4 linked regions of the Caenorhabditis elegans genome follow. The protein of the gene in region 1 interacts with the protein of each later gene in a pairwise test. Each region holds a gene or a part of one and is shown in the gene's direction. Other genes may lie near its edges. The genes, in order: rimb-1, cbpl-1, snn-1 and emg-1.

Evidence for each region.
Region 2: the proteins of rimb-1 (region 1) and cbpl-1 interact in a two-hybrid assay, tested with the Caenorhabditis elegans proteins (one large-scale study listed by BioGRID).
Region 3: the proteins of rimb-1 (region 1) and snn-1 interact in a two-hybrid assay, tested with the Caenorhabditis elegans proteins (one large-scale study listed by BioGRID).
Region 4: the proteins of rimb-1 (region 1) and emg-1 interact in a two-hybrid assay, tested with the Caenorhabditis elegans proteins (one large-scale study listed by BioGRID).

The regions. Positions count from the first base shown.
Region 1 is NC_003281.10:1,786,702-1,791,357, forward strand, and holds the start of rimb-1 (Variant SH3 domain protein), read left to right. Parts: upstream 1-1,631; 5' UTR 1,632-1,704; intron 1,705-2,335; 5' UTR 2,336-2,382; coding exon 2,383-2,753; intron 2,754-4,087; coding exon 4,088-4,217; intron 4,218-4,388; coding exon 4,389-4,461; intron 4,462-4,656.
Region 2 is NC_003282.8:7,902,137-7,907,617, forward strand, and holds cbpl-1 (Cortactin-binding protein-2 N-terminal domain-containing protein), read left to right. Parts: upstream 1-1,603; 5' UTR 1,604-1,640; coding exon 1,641-1,694; intron 1,695-1,884; coding exon 1,885-2,247; intron 2,248-2,302; coding exon 2,303-2,376; intron 2,377-2,462; coding exon 2,463-2,731; intron 2,732-2,778; coding exon 2,779-3,008; intron 3,009-3,289; coding exon 3,290-3,513; intron 3,514-3,604; coding exon 3,605-3,792; intron 3,793-3,898; coding exon 3,899-4,060; intron 4,061-4,646; coding exon 4,647-4,741; 3' UTR 4,742-4,959; downstream 4,960-5,481. Other genes in the region: arp-11 (Actin-related protein 10), read right to left, coding at 1-135.
Region 3 is NC_003282.8:1,812,100-1,816,731, reverse strand, and holds the start of snn-1 (ATP-grasp domain-containing protein), read left to right. Parts: upstream 1-1,632; 5' UTR 1,633-1,635; coding exon 1,636-1,763; intron 1,764-2,793; coding exon 2,794-2,865; intron 2,866-4,632.
Region 4 is NC_003281.10:10,647,579-10,651,430, forward strand, and holds emg-1 (Ribosomal RNA small subunit methyltransferase nep-1), read left to right. Parts: upstream 1-1,940; coding exon 1,941-2,307; intron 2,308-2,644; coding exon 2,645-2,973; 3' UTR 2,974-3,330; downstream 3,331-3,852. Other genes in the region: orc-4 (ORC (Origin Recognition Complex) subunit), read left to right, coding at 40-208, 600-713, 939-1,080, 1,133-1,235.

The DNA.
Region 1 (4,656 bases):
GGAGCAATTTCAAAGCTGTCTTAGTGCATTTTTAGTACACAAATATTTTTTCATTTTTCTTAAATTTTAATAATCTAAGCTTAAATAAAGGCTTCACCGTCTGAAAATGCAACTTTTTTCAGATGAAATATTAAAAAAAAAAACCTCTTTTATTAATTTTGTGCTCCAAACTTTCCCACGGTACGCAAATCATGTAATATGTACTTTTAAACATTATTTTTCCAATCAAAAATATCCAACAGCTTTTCCTTACAATTTGAAAATTTTTATTAAAATTTCAAAAAAATTTTTTTTTTTTTTTAATTTCGAATTTTTTTAAACTTGTTGTAACTTTTTTCCCTGTCGGCGCCAATTAACAAAATACGTAGAATTTTGCGCTTATTGTTTTGTTAGTTAACAAATTTTTGACAACTTTCTTATCAGCTGAGATTTAGGTGTTTCAGTTCGCAATCTGCGTCTCTCCTTGCTCTCCTCTATTTTAAAACCCCCATAACTTTGTTCTTGTGAGAGTTATCAAAAAATTGTCAACTAACAAAATATAGAGCACAAAAATATGCACATTTTGTATGTTGACAATTTTTTGATACCTTTTTTAGTTTTCGAGATATCTTAGTTTTAGTTTAGCTGTACCTTTTTCTGGCAAAAAACTTCCAAATTTCGGCAATTTTTCGGCAAATTTCCCGGCAAATTTCGCCAAGTACATCGGGCTCTCAGACAAGTGGTCTGTGAGTGGAAGTCGATAAAAGTAGTTTACGTGCTCTCCGTCCCCCCGCTTCTTCTCCGTCTCTGCTTCTATTTCTCCATTGACTAGTCCCACTACTTTTTACGGGGCGGAGGGCTCTCTTGCACTCCAGCTTCTTCTCTTTTTGTGCTCTTTTTTGCCCGTATGTGGGTGCTCATTTATTTTTCTTTGGTTTTAAAATAAATTCGGTTTATTAGGCTACTCGTAAAAATGAAGAAAAAACTTCAAATTCAAACGACATTAAAAAAAAATTTAATAAAAATTTTTTGAATTGCTCAAAAGCCCCACCTATATATATATATAGCTCCGCCTACTTCTCGCACAGACCCCGCCCACTTTTTGACTCCGCCCCCTTATTGGCAAAAGTTCTTGAAAAAAATAAAAATAAAAATTCAAATTGAAACAATTTTTTTTTAATGAAGTAGTTTTTTTCTAAATTGATGAAAATTTCTAAACAGTTTACAAGCACCGCCCACTTTTTGACTCCGCCCCTTTGTTGGAAAAATTCTTGTAAAAAAAAATAAAAAATAAAAGCTTCTCTTTCAAACGATTTTTAGTTGGTTTTTGTATGAAAAGTTTTTTTCCTAAAATAGAAATGTCTGAATAATTTGCAAGCTCCGCCCTTTTCTTACCCAGACTCCGCCCCTTTATTGACTAATTTTTTTTTGTCCATTTACCTGAAGTTCAAAAAAAAAATTTACAGTTTCATAGAGTAATAATTTTTCAAAAATCTCTTTTTCCAATGTTTAATGTGTCATTATAAACCCGCCCAGTTTTAAGCTCCGCCCATTTAGGCCCCGCCCATTTATGACCCAAATATTTTTTTCTCTATTCACCCGTGGATTTCCCTCCAACAAGTTACCCCAAAAATAAAAATAAAAATTCCTGCAGGCGCCCACCGGGATCTAACATCGTGGCCTCTTCCAACAACAACCATCAATCGTCTACACCATCATTCGGCGGTAGGTTGGACCGTTTTTCTTGTTGTCGACAATTATGCTGTGTCAGGACTAGAAAATCTGAATTCAGCACGCTGAGAGCTTCAAAATAAGCCCCATATTGCCTAGGTTCTAATAAATATGAAAAAATTTGGTCTCGCCACGAAAACTTGTAGGGTTTGGTAGTCTTGGTGAATTTGGGTTAGTCTTATTTTTCCTAGTTTTTTTTGATAATTTTGACACAATCTGAGCTAAAAATTGAGAAAAAATCTTAAAAAATAATAAAAATATGGATTTTCGAAGATTTTCGAAGATTTTCGAAAATCGATAACTTTGCGAATTTTAATTTTTTCTACCTGAATTTAGTTTCGAAAATTTTGTAATTCTTTGAAAAGCTTTAGAAAAATATATTTAACATTCTACACAGTACCCCGGGACTTTTCGTGGCGGGACCCAAATTTTTAAAATAGTCGGGGCCTAGCCAAGATGGGTGTTAAATGAAAGGTCTCGAAGGGCTAAATTCAAATTTTTAGGTTACAAAGCTTTAAATTGAGTTTTTAATTTTTTTTGAAATTAAAAAAAAAAAAAATCCAAAAAAAAAATCCAAAAAAAAATCCAAAAAAAAAATTTCAAAAATTTAAATTATTAATTTCAGGTTCGTGGGGTCCCTACAACAAGGCGGACCACCTAGTCACCAACTGAATGCTGGGCGGTCTGTCGGGACCCGGTCCGCCGCCCCCACCACCCCCCGCATCCTCCTATGGCATGGTGCCAGGCCCGTCGACCTCGTTCACCAACCATCTGGGTCCCACGACGTCATCCGCGTCTACAGTACCACCGACGAGTGACGCGTTGCTCCTGCAACTCCGTTCGAGACCCAATTCTCGCGTTTTTCGCGCCCTTTTTCAATATCTACCGTTAAGGGATTCGCCGAACGAGAATCCACAGCTCGAGCTGAGCCTTCAGCCGGGAGATGTGGTTCTGGTGAAAGGGGAAATGGATTCGGATGGATTTTATTGTGGGGAAACGCTGGATGGACGTCAGGGACTGGTACCATCAAATTATGTAGAGAGGTGAGCATTTTGAAGCTTAAAAATTGAGCTTTTTATACTTTTTTGGGCGAAATCTCACTTTTTCCCGTGAAAAAAGATTTAAAATTCGGAGTCTGAGATTGAAAATACAAAATTCGAATTCTCTGTGTTCAGAGCTTTCAAATGACCCCCATATTGGCTATATTCCGCCAACTTTGAAATTTCCGGGTCCCACCACGGAGGGGTACTGTAGTTTTCGTGGCGGGATCCGAAAATTTTCAAAAATGACGGAACCTAGCCGATATGGGGGTCATTTTAAAGGTCTCAACGAGACGAGTTCATTGGAGCAGGTTTTATGTGAAAATTCGATCATTTTTGAGGAAAAAAAATTTTTTTTGTTCAAAAAAGTTTTTTTTTTTTAATTTTTGTTTTAACCATGTTTTCTGTAAATAATCAGAATGAGCATAATCTCAGCTTCAAAATAGTAATCCGCCATACTTTGAAAATTCGGGTCTCACCACGAAAACTCCACCGGCTACTGTAGTTTAGACGGAAAGTTTGCAGTTTTATATTTCTAATAAATTTTTGAAAACTTTTCATATACCCTGTAAAAAATTTGTGCTGAGTAGCATAAAAATTGACAAAGTTACGGATTTTCGAAAAGATTCAAAAAAATCAAAATTTTTAATTTTGTAAAATATTTAAAAATTCTGTAACACGAAAAAAAGTTTGATTTTTTCTATTTTACCATTATTTTCGAATTTTTCACGCTATTCGCTTTAATTTGACAGCCAACATTCCCAGGCTCCGCCAATTTTGAAAATTTTCGTGGTGGGACTCAACAATTCAAAAAATTTCAATTTTACCAAGAACCTAGGCATGATGGGGGTCAAATGAAAGGTCTCAAAAAACTAAATTTGAATTTTGTATTAGTTTAACTTTTTTGTCAGCATCCTCAGGGTTACGGTAGATTTTGAACTTTCCATTGGAAAATTTTTTCGGAAAAGTTTCGAAAATCCATAACTTTTCTCATTTTTGAGATTTTAACTTGAATTAAAATGTATAACAATTGTGAGTATTTGAAAAATATGGCAAAAATAATATAATTCTGAAAAACTCGAAAACTACAGTTCCCTGGGGCTTTTCGTGGCGGGACCCAAATTTTAAAATTAAAAGGATATAGGCATGTGTTGGGGTCATTTTGAAGCTCCCAACGCGGTGAATTTCTAATAAAACGAAAAAAATTTATATTTTGAATAAGGAAAATGAAAATAATTTTAAGAATAATTTTCAAAAAAAAAAAAAATTTAAAAAACTTTTTTTTCTAAATTTTTTTATTTCTCCAAAATTTAGAAAATAAAACCAAATCTTTTCAGAGTTCCGGATTCAGTGCTCCTGGCAAATGCACGGGCTCCATCACCATCATTCCCGCTTCGAATACCCCAACATTTCTCGACAATCACACACGACTTCTCCTCTCCGGATCACTCAACACTACCCGATTCTGTAAGTTTTTGAGGAATTTTTAAAGAAAATTTGGCTAAAAATTCTTTCAAATTCAGTTTTGAAAAGCAATTTTGAAATAAAAAAAATTTAAAAAATTTTCTGGAATTTTTTTTTTTTTGAAATTTTTTTAAATTAATTTTTTCAAAAATATATAATTTTCAAATTTTTCAGGTTTGCCCTTACCCACCAGCTGACGTCACAAAAGTTACTGTACAAGAGATCAAGAACAACGAAACGCCTAGGAGTGAGTTGAAAATTTTAAAACATTCTCGAAAAAAAATTTTTTTTTTTCGAAATTTTCAAATATCGAGCCGCTACTCAGCCAATTTTCGAGATAAGCTCTTGAAAACTAATAATTCAATTTTTTCTTGCCAGTAGCTTCAATTTAACACCCATATCGGCTAGGCTCCGATGAAAAGCCCAGTTTTCGAAATTTTTT
Region 2 (5,481 bases), on another chromosome or scaffold:
GGACTTTGTAGCAGTCTTCCGATTGTTTAGAGCTAATAATTCATCAGAAGTTATCAATTTTCCTTCATCATCGACGTATTCTGTTCGGATAATATGTCGAGGTGTTATTTCTCCGGCACATCCAATTCTAAACATAGTAAAATTATGAAATTTAAGAACAGTGGAACTCAAACTTCGTTAACTTGCTTCCAATCTCAACCACAACTGCACTTTTTCCATTATCGATTGAACTGATAGCTTGAGATAAAGTTGTCGATGAAAGCGAGATTGATTGATTTGAAACTCCCGACGAACTCCGTCGAGCCGCCTTCAGCGACTCCAACGTTGATTGAGCAGTTGATGCCAGTTTGAACACTACAATATTGATTTTAAGATGATTTAATCTTAAAAAGAAAGGAGTAATTACGAATGTGGCACAATAAATAATGATTGATTCGTCTAATTAAAGTAAAATCTTGATAAAACATTAAAACAAAAAAGTCGTTCTCAATTGAGCGCTTACCGTATACGTGTGCAAACACCATGTATCTTCTATTGCGTACCGCGCGCAGTATATTACGCGCAAAGTTTTTGCGACTCTGAGTGACGTCACCAGACATTTTCTTATCGCTTTCTCGTTTACCGCCAGTTTAAATAATTATTTTATCACTTTTTATAAGTTTTTATCATTTCGCGTAATTACAGTAATCTTTTTATTAAAGGATTTGTTGCTTGATAGTGAACTAAAATAGGTTAACTTTGATTTTTAATGAGAGAGACATCATCGATTGCAGGTTTAGATTAGTTGTATCCATTTCTCTGACTCGAAATCTCTTTTTGCGTACTAATTTTTCAAAATAACCATCGATCTTCATCCAGATTTGAGGAAAATTCCTGTTTATTATTTTCAATATCTGGAAGGCTAAATAGAAAAAATGTTTGACTCGTTTAGGAATCCTAAATTTTGGAGATATAAAATTTGCGTCTTTCAATATTCAACTATTTGGGATATGATTTCCTTTTTTGCAATTATGGATTCTTACTAGAAAAACTACCAGACTCTGGCAAACATTCTCCTCCGCCTTGTTTGCTTTTTTCGTTGCTGGTCATCTTCAACAAACAGTGTACTTAAGCTCAGCATCACCACCGTGTTTTTTCATGGTGAAAACAACCCAGTTAAAATGGCTGAACAAGATGTTTAGATTTTTCTCGATAACATCTGATTGTGTAGGTCACCTTTACAAAGTTCATTTGAACTTTTTGCTATATCGTTATTCGAACGGATCTTCTCTCTTAACATAAAAGTTCCTTGCAATAGATATCGTTCAAAACGAACCAAGTGTCATCACTTGGAGCGGAGCCAGTAGAGCCCTGCTCTCGACATGTGAGAGCCCGGTCGCAAGGCATAGGGAATGACAACATTTCGTCTGCGTCTCCACCTCTTCAAGCAATCACTGTGAAATAGAAGCACACGAAGTTACACACTTGAATCCCTTTCTCTATATCCCTCGGTCTCTAGTTCTTCAGTTTATCCACGTTCAACGTCTGCTTTTTCTTCTTCTGCATCGACTTCGTGTTTTTTTCTCCAGAAATTTCGAAAACGTTTCAAAAATAATTTTTCCAGACTTCTGCTTCACGGCGTTTGCCGTGTTTCTTTCACGATGCCAAATTTACTCGATGACAGTTTTGATCCAACTTTTCAATCAACATCAAAAGTGAGTTTTAATTCCACAAGGAACATAAAATTGTAAGCAAAGTTTGTATACTCTAATTTTTAATATTCACAGTCTCAAATTATTCTAAGATTGCAAATTAACGCTCATTTTCCGAGTGATTGAGCCACACCCAAAGTTTTGAAAATATATAATTTATCAGTAATTAACCAAAAACTTCTACAATGTTCAGAAATTGGTACTTCCGTCTATTCGAAAGGTTCAGCCCGAATATGACAATCTTCCCGAAGAGCAGGGGGTTAACGATTTCTCAAGTGATGAACTGATGAAATTGCTCTCGTTCATGGAAGGTGAAGTTCAAGCAAGAGAAGATGTCATTGATCATCTGAAACGTGAAAGAACGAAAATTCTACTATCCGAAGCTAAATATGGAAAACTAAATATGAACGATCCATTTGCTGCGTTGCGACGAGATTCGGCAATTACTGGCGAACAGATTGATGAAGAGAAGATTGTTCAAATGTACGAGTCACAAGTGGATCAGTTGGATAAGATGATGGCAGTGCAAAAGCAATCGCAAAGAAATGCGGCTGTGGTAATTAAATTTTTGTGCAGCTCCCTCTATTTACACCAATCAAAAAAGTTTTCAGCTGTTGGTTGCGCTGGAGAAGAAGCAATATAAACTCGTGAAAAAGTTGGAGGCGGATAGAGAAGCTAAAATAAGGTGAGTTATATATTACGAAATAAGAAAATACCTTAATAAACATTATAACTCGACTCATACGCCTAAAATTTAGAACAAATCTTTAGGTACGCGAAACAAGGAGATGATTTGGTCGCTCACTTGGAAAAAGAACGAAATCAACTTCAACAACAAATTGAATTTCATATTGAGGAGAAACGCAAAGCCGAAATCGCAAAGGATAAAATGGAAATGACACTTGGAAATGAGAAAAAACGTCACGAATCAATCGTTTTGTATTTGATACAAGAACGCAAACAAATGCTTTTAAAAATGCACGAATTAAGAGTGAAAGCCGAACAAATTATGCTTCAAAATCAAAATGATCCTACCAAACGTGAGTTAACTGCAAAATAAGTTTTTTTAGTTCAATAAAACTTTCAGCTGGTCCATCATCAGCGTTAAGTGAACGCGAGCTTATTGAGGAGCTGAAAAAAGAAGTCACGTTTTTACGAGCAGAACGGGAATCGCTCACAAAAACTCAGAAAATGGTGAAAACTGAAAATCTGAGCCTTCGAGAAACAGTTCGTGGACAAGAAGCCGATCTTCAGATGCTTCGACGGAATCTGACGTTAACTGGAGCAAAAATGTCAATTGATAAGCCTGGGAATGTAGTGAGTTTTGTTTCAAATTTTCAATTTTCCTGAAACGGTCATAGAAATTTGGTTTATCGATGTCTCTAAATGTCAAAAGAATTGTTTTAAATTAGCTCTTGACAAATGCAAAAAAGTTGTAACTTTTTACTTATTACATGATATTTCCCATCTGCATTTTCTTTTATCAGTTGAACATAATAAGACAACCTTCACATAGTTGATTGCACTCATGATTAGCAAAATTTAGCTCTCAAAACAAGTTATGGAATTTCCGCATTTCATATTTTATGTTATTGCAGCTACCTCAACTTCCACCCGACACAGGATCCCTAATAATGGCGAATCGAGGTGCAAAACCAGCAGTTAATAGACAACAGCCAGCTCCTCCTCCTGTAGCTCGTCTTCCAAATTCAGCAACATTTCCAACTGAAAAGAGTCGACTTCCAAGAGCTCCACCTCCAGCTGTAACAACACCGGTCCCTCGAATGAGTATTGGAAGTTTGCCGGCATCTAGTTCTAATGTGTAAGATTTCTGACTACAATCAATTTTGATATTGCTATGTCACTGCAATCTGCCAAACTCAAACAAATTACAGTACCATGAAAACTTTCAGACCTCGCACAATGAGTTCGCCAGTGAAAAAGACACCAGTTATGGGTGTTTCCTCCACAGCAGTCCGACGCCCTCAGTCCGCAGCAACTACTACAATGCCAACTACCTCAGTTATAACAAATACATCTGCTGTGATGCCACTGTCGCCTGATCTCGAACAGCTGGAGGCTGCCATACAATCTATGAATGGTACGTTTTTTTCTTTGATTTTTCAAAACTTTCTGCACATTCTTATTTAATTTGGCAAGGCTTTATATTATTGTGTTAGTCTTTTCGTAGTTATGTCATTCTTCAGTTGTTACCGCCAGTCCCCCCGCATATTCAACTGCCATGGCCAAACGGAGTTCAAGTCTTCCGAGAGAAGCAAATAACAATCCACCAGGAGCTCCAATCCGTAGAAGCACGATGAACGGTGGAATGCACACATCTACGACGGGAGTCGTTAGCACTAGAATTGGCATGTTTTTGTAGTTATAGACTTGTGTTTTCTCGTTTTTTTTTTCAAGATGGCAGTTACCTTGAAAGAGCTGAAAGACAGTAGTAACTATGCAATCACTTGTAGTTTTGCGCTCAAGAGTATTGTTTTTGGTTTTCGGTATTGGGAAATTTCCATTTAGAAAACAAAATCATTCAGTCTTTGTAGGTGGAATATGAATGCAAATTGTGTCTGACTTTAAAAACTACTGCAGTTTTAAACTTTCTGCGGGAGTTTCATCGGTTCTTCAAACGTTTTTTTCTAGATTTGTTAAAATTTATGTGTTTTAAAAACTGGTTTTTTAATAAGTTTATTTTTATCGGAACCCTATGAAAAATCTATGAAAATTCCGCAGCCACACAAGTTTGAACTCACAGTACTCGCTAAAAGAGCATACCCTCCTTTTTTAGCAGACAGTTTTCGTTTCGAGACCGGGACCGTATTTTTAGCGCGAAAATCTGAAAATTTCGCATCCGGATAATACGAAAATGAATAAAAATAAATTTTAATATCTACATTTCTTAACTCCTACATTACTTATTCTGTTTTAATATGTTTCTTTTTTCAGCCGGACCTTCGTCAAACGTGGCAAGTGAACGAAAACTTTCTGGAACTGTAAAGCGGAACGGAATTCTCGCAAAAGCGTTTGGATCATCGAAATGATATTTTATATTCAAAATCTTAACTTACCTATCTGCACTTCTACCTAACAAACATTCATGGGTATTACGATTCTCTCATTCTTTCAGTTTTTGCTCAATTTTCTTACAATGTTTTATCGCACTTTTCATCATTTTCTTACTTGTTTGTTTATAGTTTTCATTTCGTGTAAAATCAGATCAAATTAAATATTGCACGTATAATGAAAATATTAAATTCGAGATATATTGTTCATTTAAAAAAAAGACGAAATCTAGTTTATAAAAGTCAGAAAAGATCCGTGAAATGATTGAAGCCTAGTGGTAGAGGAACGAGCGAGGACTTGTAATATTTTCGTTTTAAAAAAACAAAGTCTATTTTCACGAATGAATAGTACAAGTAGGGCACAAATGAGGAGGGGGAAATAGAATGAAAAGACGATATGGACCCGTCTATGGTCGATTTTCCAATAAGGAAAAGGGGTATTTCATGATGAGCATGTTCTACTAATATTGATGGATGCGAATTTGTCAAGAATATCATTCTTTAAACTATTATATTAAAATCAAAGTGTTCCGAATGTGAGGCAAAAGAAAAAAATGTGATCGAAAAAGATTTGGGGCCCTGGAAAGTGCAAAAAGAGTGAGATGACTGGTTGGATGGGTTGGAGCCAACTGAAAATAAGGCAAAAAATAAGAAAGAACTAGACGATTCATAAGAGGCACTGGATGAAGATGTCGCGGGACAAAACACGAAAGAAAATT
Region 3 (4,632 bases), on another chromosome or scaffold:
CTTGATTCTCGAATTTTCACTGAGCTTCTCTAGACTTTTGCATTTTTAACATGAACCAATATGTAGATCCTATGCTAAAGTTTTTGTACCCAGAAATTTCTGACATTTTTTCAAATAAAATTTCACATTTTTCGGCGCAAAAATATAAAAAATTTTTGAAATTTAAAAAGTTCAAATTTTCGAGCTTTCTCTACATTTTCCAGAGGCTCGAAAAATTGTCTGCGCTCTCATCTACTAGTATTTTTTGGGTAATTCAGTTTTCACCCAAATGTAAATTTCACCCACTCTCCTTACGCCCGGCTCCATTTGATTTTGTTTCATGTTTCTCTCCGTCTCCATGTGCATTTTGGATGCGGCTTCTCCCCTTTTTTCGACGCAGAAAAGGGGGTATAACATTTCGACTTTACGGGATTATACGCTTTTTCGTCTCGCCTTCTTTCTTGTTTCACTTCAATGAATACAAGATTACCCACACATCTCTTGAAATTAAGAAATGTTTCGTTTTAAATTCTCCAAATAGCTTTAAATTTTGAGGAAAGTTCCTAGCTCTCAGATGTGCTCAGCGATCTTAAACCTAGTAATGTATATACTTTTCTGATTTTAAAATTTGAAAACCATGACTGAAAAGGCCCGAATAGTTTCTTTCGTGAGTTAGTCTTTTTTTTTCTTCCTTTTTTTTCCTATTTTTTCTTCAAATTTGATTAGACATCTTCCAGTGTCAAGCCATAATTAAAAAGTGACGTTTCTTTTTTTTTTTTTGAAAGTCTCTTCTTCTTTGAAAAAATTTTGAAATTTCTTCTTTTAAGCTCGAAATGCTCCAAATAAGTATTCACATTTTTCTTTAAAAAAAACTGTAGCAATGAGAGATTTCAAATAGTCCAAGTCCTGAATTTTTCGGTCTCGAGCTCGCGGAGCCCAGTGTCTTTCAGCTCTAAAAAGCACAAATTTGAATTTTTGAGGAAAATGAACACAAGTATCAGAATCAGCGTGTTTAGTGTTTTCAGATAATATTCATATTGTCCAGGTTCTGAAATTTCTGGGTTTTGGCTCGCGGAGCACCGGCAAGAGCCCGTTTCCAGAAAATCGACACTTTTTGGTGCTCCGCGAGCCCATTCCTCAAAAATTCAAAGTCTAGCCATGTTTATTCTTTTCTAAACCGCAAAATCTAGGGGAATTCAAAAATTCTAATCACACAGCCTAAAAGCTTAAACTAAAAATGTTAGGCCACCAACCTTGCCTCTAAACAATCTCAAAATTTCATCAAAAAGTTTGTGGGGCCCCTTAGGGGGACTGACGTTCTCGCTTTTCAAATTGATGCCCCTATTCCTCGCCACTTTCCTCCATCTTTTTTCTCTTTATCTCTAAGTTTCTCTCTGTGCTCTCTCTCTCTCTCTCTATTCACTTCCTTAGCTTCAACCCCTCCAGACACTTTCCCCTTTTCTCCTTCACCCACAAAATGTACATTTCATGGTTTTTTTTTTTGGTTTTTGAGTTGTTTCTAGTTATTTTTAACTCTAATTATGGGTTGAAAAGGTCTCTGGGGAAATTTTAAGAAAATTTGTGGCTTCTCTCTGACATTTTGCTCTTTTTCCCCCTTTTTTTGCTCACGAAAATCCAATTTTCCAGTTTCAGAAAATGAATTTCTTCAAGCGAAAATTCTCGTTTTCCGAGGATGAGGGTGAGCCAATGGATGACGTGAACTCGGGACCGCCGAGCTCTTTTTCATTTCAGTCGATTGCTAATAAGGTGTCTAATACGATAAGGTACGAAATTTTAAAATAAAATAAAAAATCTCAAATATTTGTGTGCTCCGTGAGCTCGGCCGGCTGGGAAGACTCCAGTTTAGAAAACTTTGAAAGTTTGAATTTGACACCCACATAGCTTGGTTTTTAAAAATTTTGAGTTTGGAGCTCCCGGAGCTCACAGAGCAGCCGATCCTCCAAATCTCTAAAATTCCAAACCTAGGCCGCCTTGAGCTTTTTAATCTGAAAATTCAAATGAAATTTTCAAAAACCTTTTTTTAATATATTTTTCCCAGTTTCCAGTCAATTTTGTCTGACAAAAATTTAAAAAAAGAGCTCAATATGCTTCATTTTCCAGATTTTTCAAATTCCAGTTCAGAATTGTTGTACAGCCTGCCAATAGCATCAATTTGACACCCATATTGCTTGGTTTAAAAAAATTTGATTCTGGAGCTCCCGGGCTCACAGAGCCGCTCATGCTTCAAATCTCTAAAGCTCCAAGCCTAGGCTTGTTTATACTTTTCTGAACAGGCTCGAACTTTTTTGTTTGAAAAATTGATTCTAAAAGATTCTTATCAGTTCAGATAATGCTCGCGGAGCACAGGAATGCTCCAAATCTCTTAATTCTAAACCTGGGCTTGTTTATACTTATCTGAACCACCTGATCTTTTCAAATTCCAAAATTTCACCAGATCATTTAAAAAGCTCAAATTAAAAGTTTTATTTCAAAAAATACACAAATTCTCAAGAAAATTTGTCATCCACTTCAAAAAAAAAAAAGAAAGAACCAAAAAACCCGCTAGCGAAAACATTCATTAAAATTGTAGTGTGCGGCTCTTTTGAGACTGCCAAAGATAAAAAAAAAATAAAATATAGTGTAAAATGAGAGAATCGTGGGAAATTTTCCTCAGAGAATTTCCTTCATTTTTCCCGAGAAAATGCAAATCTGGGTATCTCCATGGAAACCCGCACATTTTTTTTCTATATTCTGTTCTGCTGCCAAGATAACATGTGTTTAAATCACTTTGTCAGATATGTTCACTTATTTCAGTGCTCCAACGTCACCTGCCAAGTCTCGGGAATCACTTGCCGCTGCACTGGAGAGGTCACTCAATCATGATAGGTTTGTTAGCTGGAATTTTGCTTTAAAATTGTTCGAAACAAAAAATTAATAAAAAATTTGAGTTTGGCTCAAGAGAGAGCTTTCATTTGAGTATAATCATGACATGTTTTGATCAAATTTCAAAACTTAGCGATCCTGCCGCGAAAACCTGGGAATTTTCGTGATGGGACCCAATATTTTATGACAAATTTATAAGAATTGAACAATTTACAAACGCACATCAAAGATTTTTGCTTTAAAAAACCAATTTTTATTTATTTATTTATTTACCAGCCGTGGACCGCACCTTCGGCGCGGCCCCCGACTTCTGGGGCTGAAAATTAATTTTTTATGAAACTACCGTAACCCTACAGTATTCCTACCGTACCACTATTGTACCACTACAGTACCCCGACTATATCCCTACACTAACCCCCAACTCACTATCCCTCCAGAAGCTAAAACTTCGCAGACTACAAAGACTACATAGACTACAAACTATGGACAAACGGAATAAGCGCTTTATATATAGTAAATGATTTTGATTCAATTATTTGTATTAAAACATTGTAGGGGTCGAAACATGCGACATTGCTTGGGATTTCCTCAAGAGCTCATATTTTTTCGAAATTTTGGCAATTTGCCAAAACTTTGTCCGGAAATTTTGAAAAATCTAAAATTTTTTAGAGTTTTTTGATGTGATACTCGGTTGTCTTAAATCATTATAAGTGTATTAAAAAAAAAAAACAAAAAAAAATCCACTGACGCTACTCCATCTTTGAAAATTGGTCAGTTTTATTGATAATATATCATAAAAAATTTCACACCCGTAAAATTGCTCGAAATACAGCTTTTTGCAGACATTCGATTATTTTAAATATGTACAAGGCTAGGTAAATACTCTGGTAACATTTTGGAAGTTTTAATTTTTTTTGAAAAAATTATTTTACCATGCGAAAGGCTTACTCAGGTTTAGGCCTAGGCTTTGGTTTAGGCTTAGGCTTAGGCTTAGTCTTAAGCTTAGGCTTTCGCGTAGGGTTAGGCTTAGTCTTAAGCTTACTCTTAGGCTTAGGTTTAGACCTAGGCTAAAACTTATGCCTTGGCTTGGCGTCAGTGACGCTATTTAGGGTTAGGATTACAGCAGCACTGACGCTATTTAGGGTTAGGATTACAGCAGCACTGACGCTATTTAGGGTTAGGATTACAGCGTTTTTTTCATTTTTCAAAGGGTTCCCGTTGGCCGATCAAAGCGAAATTTAACACAGAGACGTATAGGCCACTAAGAAGCTTTCGTGTAAAATTTCAAATTGATTCCATCAAAACTCGCCGAGTTATGAAGCTTAAGGTGTTTTCAAAATGACCCTCAACTATTTTTTTAAATTTGAAAGTTTGGCGTTTTGTCAGTTTTCTGTCTAAGCTCACGAAAATTTAATGACAGGAGGACGGCAGTGAAATAAGTTTTCTTGTGAATTTTGAGCCAATTTCGATTTACAGGAGCCGAGATATTAAGCTTCAAAATCCAAAAAAAAATGACCCTCGCTCCGCCCCTTTTTGTCGACAAAAAGATTTCACTTTGAAAACGCGCGTGTAACTTGACGGTGGGTGGATGGATTTTGATGCGGTTTTTTGCTGTCTTTTCAAAAAGCTTGCCCTACCTCTGTATTCTTTTTTTCAGAAAGATTGGAGCTCATTGAGCCGAGATATTTTGAGTCAAACTCAAAAATCGCTATTTTCCGTCATTTTCGGGTGGTTTTAATTGAAGGAAAATTCGAATACTTGAGATTATTT
Region 4 (3,852 bases), 8.9 Mb from region 1:
TTTCGGCTTTTCAACCCCCATTAAAGTCCATATTCTCAGACAAGTCACTACGTCGTTCTGAAACAATTGGCCGCGCAATTCCTGATGCTTTTCGGTTACTATTGTGACGTAGAAGACACGTGGAAACCCGAGGAAATCAGCAAACAGATTCGTAAAATTGTCGAGACGACTTCTCCCTCGTATAATGGAAAATTGTTGATTTTAAAAGGTAGAAATTCTGCTAAAACTTTGAAAAAGGCAGAAAAAACCCACGATTTTCTAATTTTGAAAACAAAAAATGAACAATTCAAGTTCACTTTTTGAAATTCCGCAAAGAATTAAAAATTCTGATTTCAAATCTGGAAATTGAGCTGATAAAGTAATTTTTTACCTTTTTTTTTCGGAACAAATTTCAAATTTTAAACAACTTTAAAATGTAAAAAATCATGCAAAAATCGTGATTTTCAATCAAAACCTATTTTAATCTTTACAGCTTTTGAAATTTTTCTGAAAAATTAAAAAAATCCGGTAAAATCTAGAAAAAACTAATTATATACTGTTTTTTCGGCTCAAAAATTTAATAATTCCAGTGAAATTCTAAAAATTTTTCAAATTTTCAGATCAAACAGTTCGAGCACAATGCGTTTTTCTTTGTGTCTGGAGACTTGTGCAGAATAAAGAGTCAGATGGACCACTTTTGGCGCCAAAAACTTCGTATCGAAACGTTTTTCTAGGTATTTTTTAAAATTTATCTCGGAATTTTCGATTTTTCGAATTTTTAAAAATTGAAAAACGAAAAATTTTTCGATTTTTTGAATTTCCGAAAAATTAAGAAAATGTTCAGAAAATTAACCATAAAATATGATTTTTTTTAAATCTAATTTTCGATTATATTGATGAGAAAAAACATGAAAATTTTAAGCTTATTTTTTAAAAATCTATTTTCTCCGTAATTTCAGAATTCAAAAAACTCGTTAATCAACACTATCCTCCACTGAACGTGAGCAGTGATGTCTACGTATTCCGAGAATTGGATCATCTCGTTAAAATGGGAATTTTGAAGGCAGACGAGAGCACAAATGTGACAAATACCTCGTTTCGGTGGGTTTTTTTTTCAGCTGAAAAATTCACCTCAAATCCTCTTTTTTTTCAGAAAAGTTTGGCTTCATATCAATGATAAAATTGTGGAGGACTCGATCTCGAAGTTGCAGCTCCCGCGAGTTGTTTCCGACTTTTTTATGACTATTTTGAAGTAATTTTGATATTTTTTGTACTATTTGCAATGAAGATTGATCTCGATATTTATATTTTTGTTGAGTTTTTTTTTCTGTGAGAATTATTTTCGGTTTAAAAACCATCATATTATTTTTTGAACTTGTTTTATAAAAATCTTTACAGGAGCTTCAAAAATCGAAAAAATAAAATAAAACCATTTTTCGTTAATTCAAAAATCCCGAAATAAAATATTTAGTTAAATTTTCATGTTTTAGGGGAAATTCGACAAAAAAAGGAACTCACTGAAATTTTTGAAAAACCGTTCAAATTTACAAATTTTTTCGTTTTTGAGTTTTTGAGTTTTTTGATTTTCGACTTACATTTTCTCCGCAGAAATTTTTCAGTGTTTTTGACGAAAAAATATCGAAAAACGAAAAAAGAAGTGAAAACTTTTAATTTATCAAAAATTATGTATATTCCTATATTGATAGATATGGAAAATTAGAAATTTTTCCAAAAGTCGAAAAACTCAATTTTATTTCCAAAAAAGCGGCATTTTTTCGAAAATTTTACAGAACGACCTATCGTTGTTCCCACAGCTTTTATTTAAAATTTGTGCTAAACTATAAAAAATCACAATATTATTCAGAAAATAATTTTTTTTTCATCAGAATTATTGAAAATTCGATTTTTGGTCCTAAAAAAATTACTTTATGACAAAAAAAATTAATTTCTCCGAATTTCAGATGTCCCACGAGTACGATACAGTTGCACCGCCAAATGCGAAGCGCATGAAGACGGATAATCAATTGGAGGACAAGAAGATTTTGTACGTTGTACTGGAAGGATGTAGTCTTGAAACTGCAAAAGTCGGTGGAGAATACGCAATTTTGAGCAGTGATAAACACGCGAATTTTCTGAGAAAACAGAAAAAAGATCCGGCTGATTATCGGCCAGATATCCTACATCAATGCTTGTTGAATCTACTTGATAGTCCGCTTAACAGAGCCGGAAAGCTTCGTGTCTTCTTTAGAACGAGCAAGAATGTGCTCGTTGATGTCTCACCACAGTGCAGAATTCCAAGAACTTTTGATCGATTCTGTGGACTTATGGGTGAGTTTTTGGTTTATTGGAAATTGAAAAAAATATATTTTGAAGTGTTTTTGTATGTAAAATAAGAAAAAAGACAATTTTTCGAGTTTTTTAAAAATTATTTTTTATCAAATTTAAACATAAATTTTTAAAAATACCCTTTTCCTTTTAAAAATACCCGGATTCAAAATACCCCAAAATAGTCTGAAAATCAAAAAAAAATTCACAAAAAAGAGCACAAAAATCCAATTTTCAAAAACATGCTTTAAAATACTTTTTATTGGATTTTTTGTGACTTTTCTTGCAATTAGGTATTTTTATGCAAAATCCCCCTATTTTCTATTTTCCATATTTTCAGTCCAACTCCTGCACAAACTCTCCATTCGAGCCGCCGAAACCACTCAAAAGCTGATGTCAGTAGTGAAGAATCCAGTGTCGAACCATCTTCCAGTGGGATCCCGTAAGATGCTCATGTCGTTCAATGTACCTGAGCTAACAATGGCTAATAAGCTTGTTGCACCGGAAACCGACGAGCCTCTGGTCCTTATTATCGGTGGAATTGCTCGTGGAAAGATCGTCGTCGATTACAACGATTCTGAGACCAAGATCAGCAATTATCCATTGAGTGCAGCGTTGACTTGTGCCAAAGTGACCAGTGGACTTGAGGAGATTTGGGGAATTATTTAATTGATTTTTTGCAGTTTTTTCATTTTATTGTTGTCTGTTTTTGTTACTATCTTCATCTTATAAAGTGCAAAATCACTTTTTTTTTTCGAAAAAAAATGCCGTTTTTTTGTAAATTTCAATGTCTATTTCTTACTTTTACACTGAAATTGTTTTAAAAAAATCAAATATTCTAAAAACCCAAAAAATTAGTTTTTTCTTTGATTTTCCTTTCGTAGAGTTCTCTTTTTTTTTTATTTTTTCAGTTTTATTAGGTAGTAATTTAAAACGTTTTAAAATTTTACAATATTTGGCATAAAATTCGGCAAAAACTTTTTTTTTTCAGAAAAATTCTAAATAAAAAAGTCCAGGAGCCTAACTTTTCAGTTTTTACCAATTTTTCAGACAAAATCGAAGAATAATCGTGAAAAATGCGATTTTTTCGCTAAAAATACGGTAGCTGGTATCGAAGCGACAATTTTTTTAGTTGCAGAAGGATGTGCGCCTTTAAAGAGTACTGTAGTTTTAAACTTTCGTTGTTGCGGAATTTTTATTGATTTTTTGTAGTTTTTCGATAAATTATCGATTAAAAAAAAAAGATAAACTCAAATAAAAAATTAAAAAATACAAGAAAACTGTAAAATATTATAAATTTCAACATAACTGGAGAAAAACTGTAAAAAAATTTGAAAAAAAAAAACAATTTTCATATTTTCTCTCCAGTTCTGATAGAATTTCTGACATTTTAAACTTTTTTTTTTACTTTTTATCATAAAAACTATGGCAAATTAAGGAAAATTCTGCAGAAATGAAATTTGGAAATTACAGTACTCTTTAAAGGCGCACAATATTTGGCATAAAAAATCTTCGCTTCGAGACCAGGTACAGTAGTTTTGACACCGA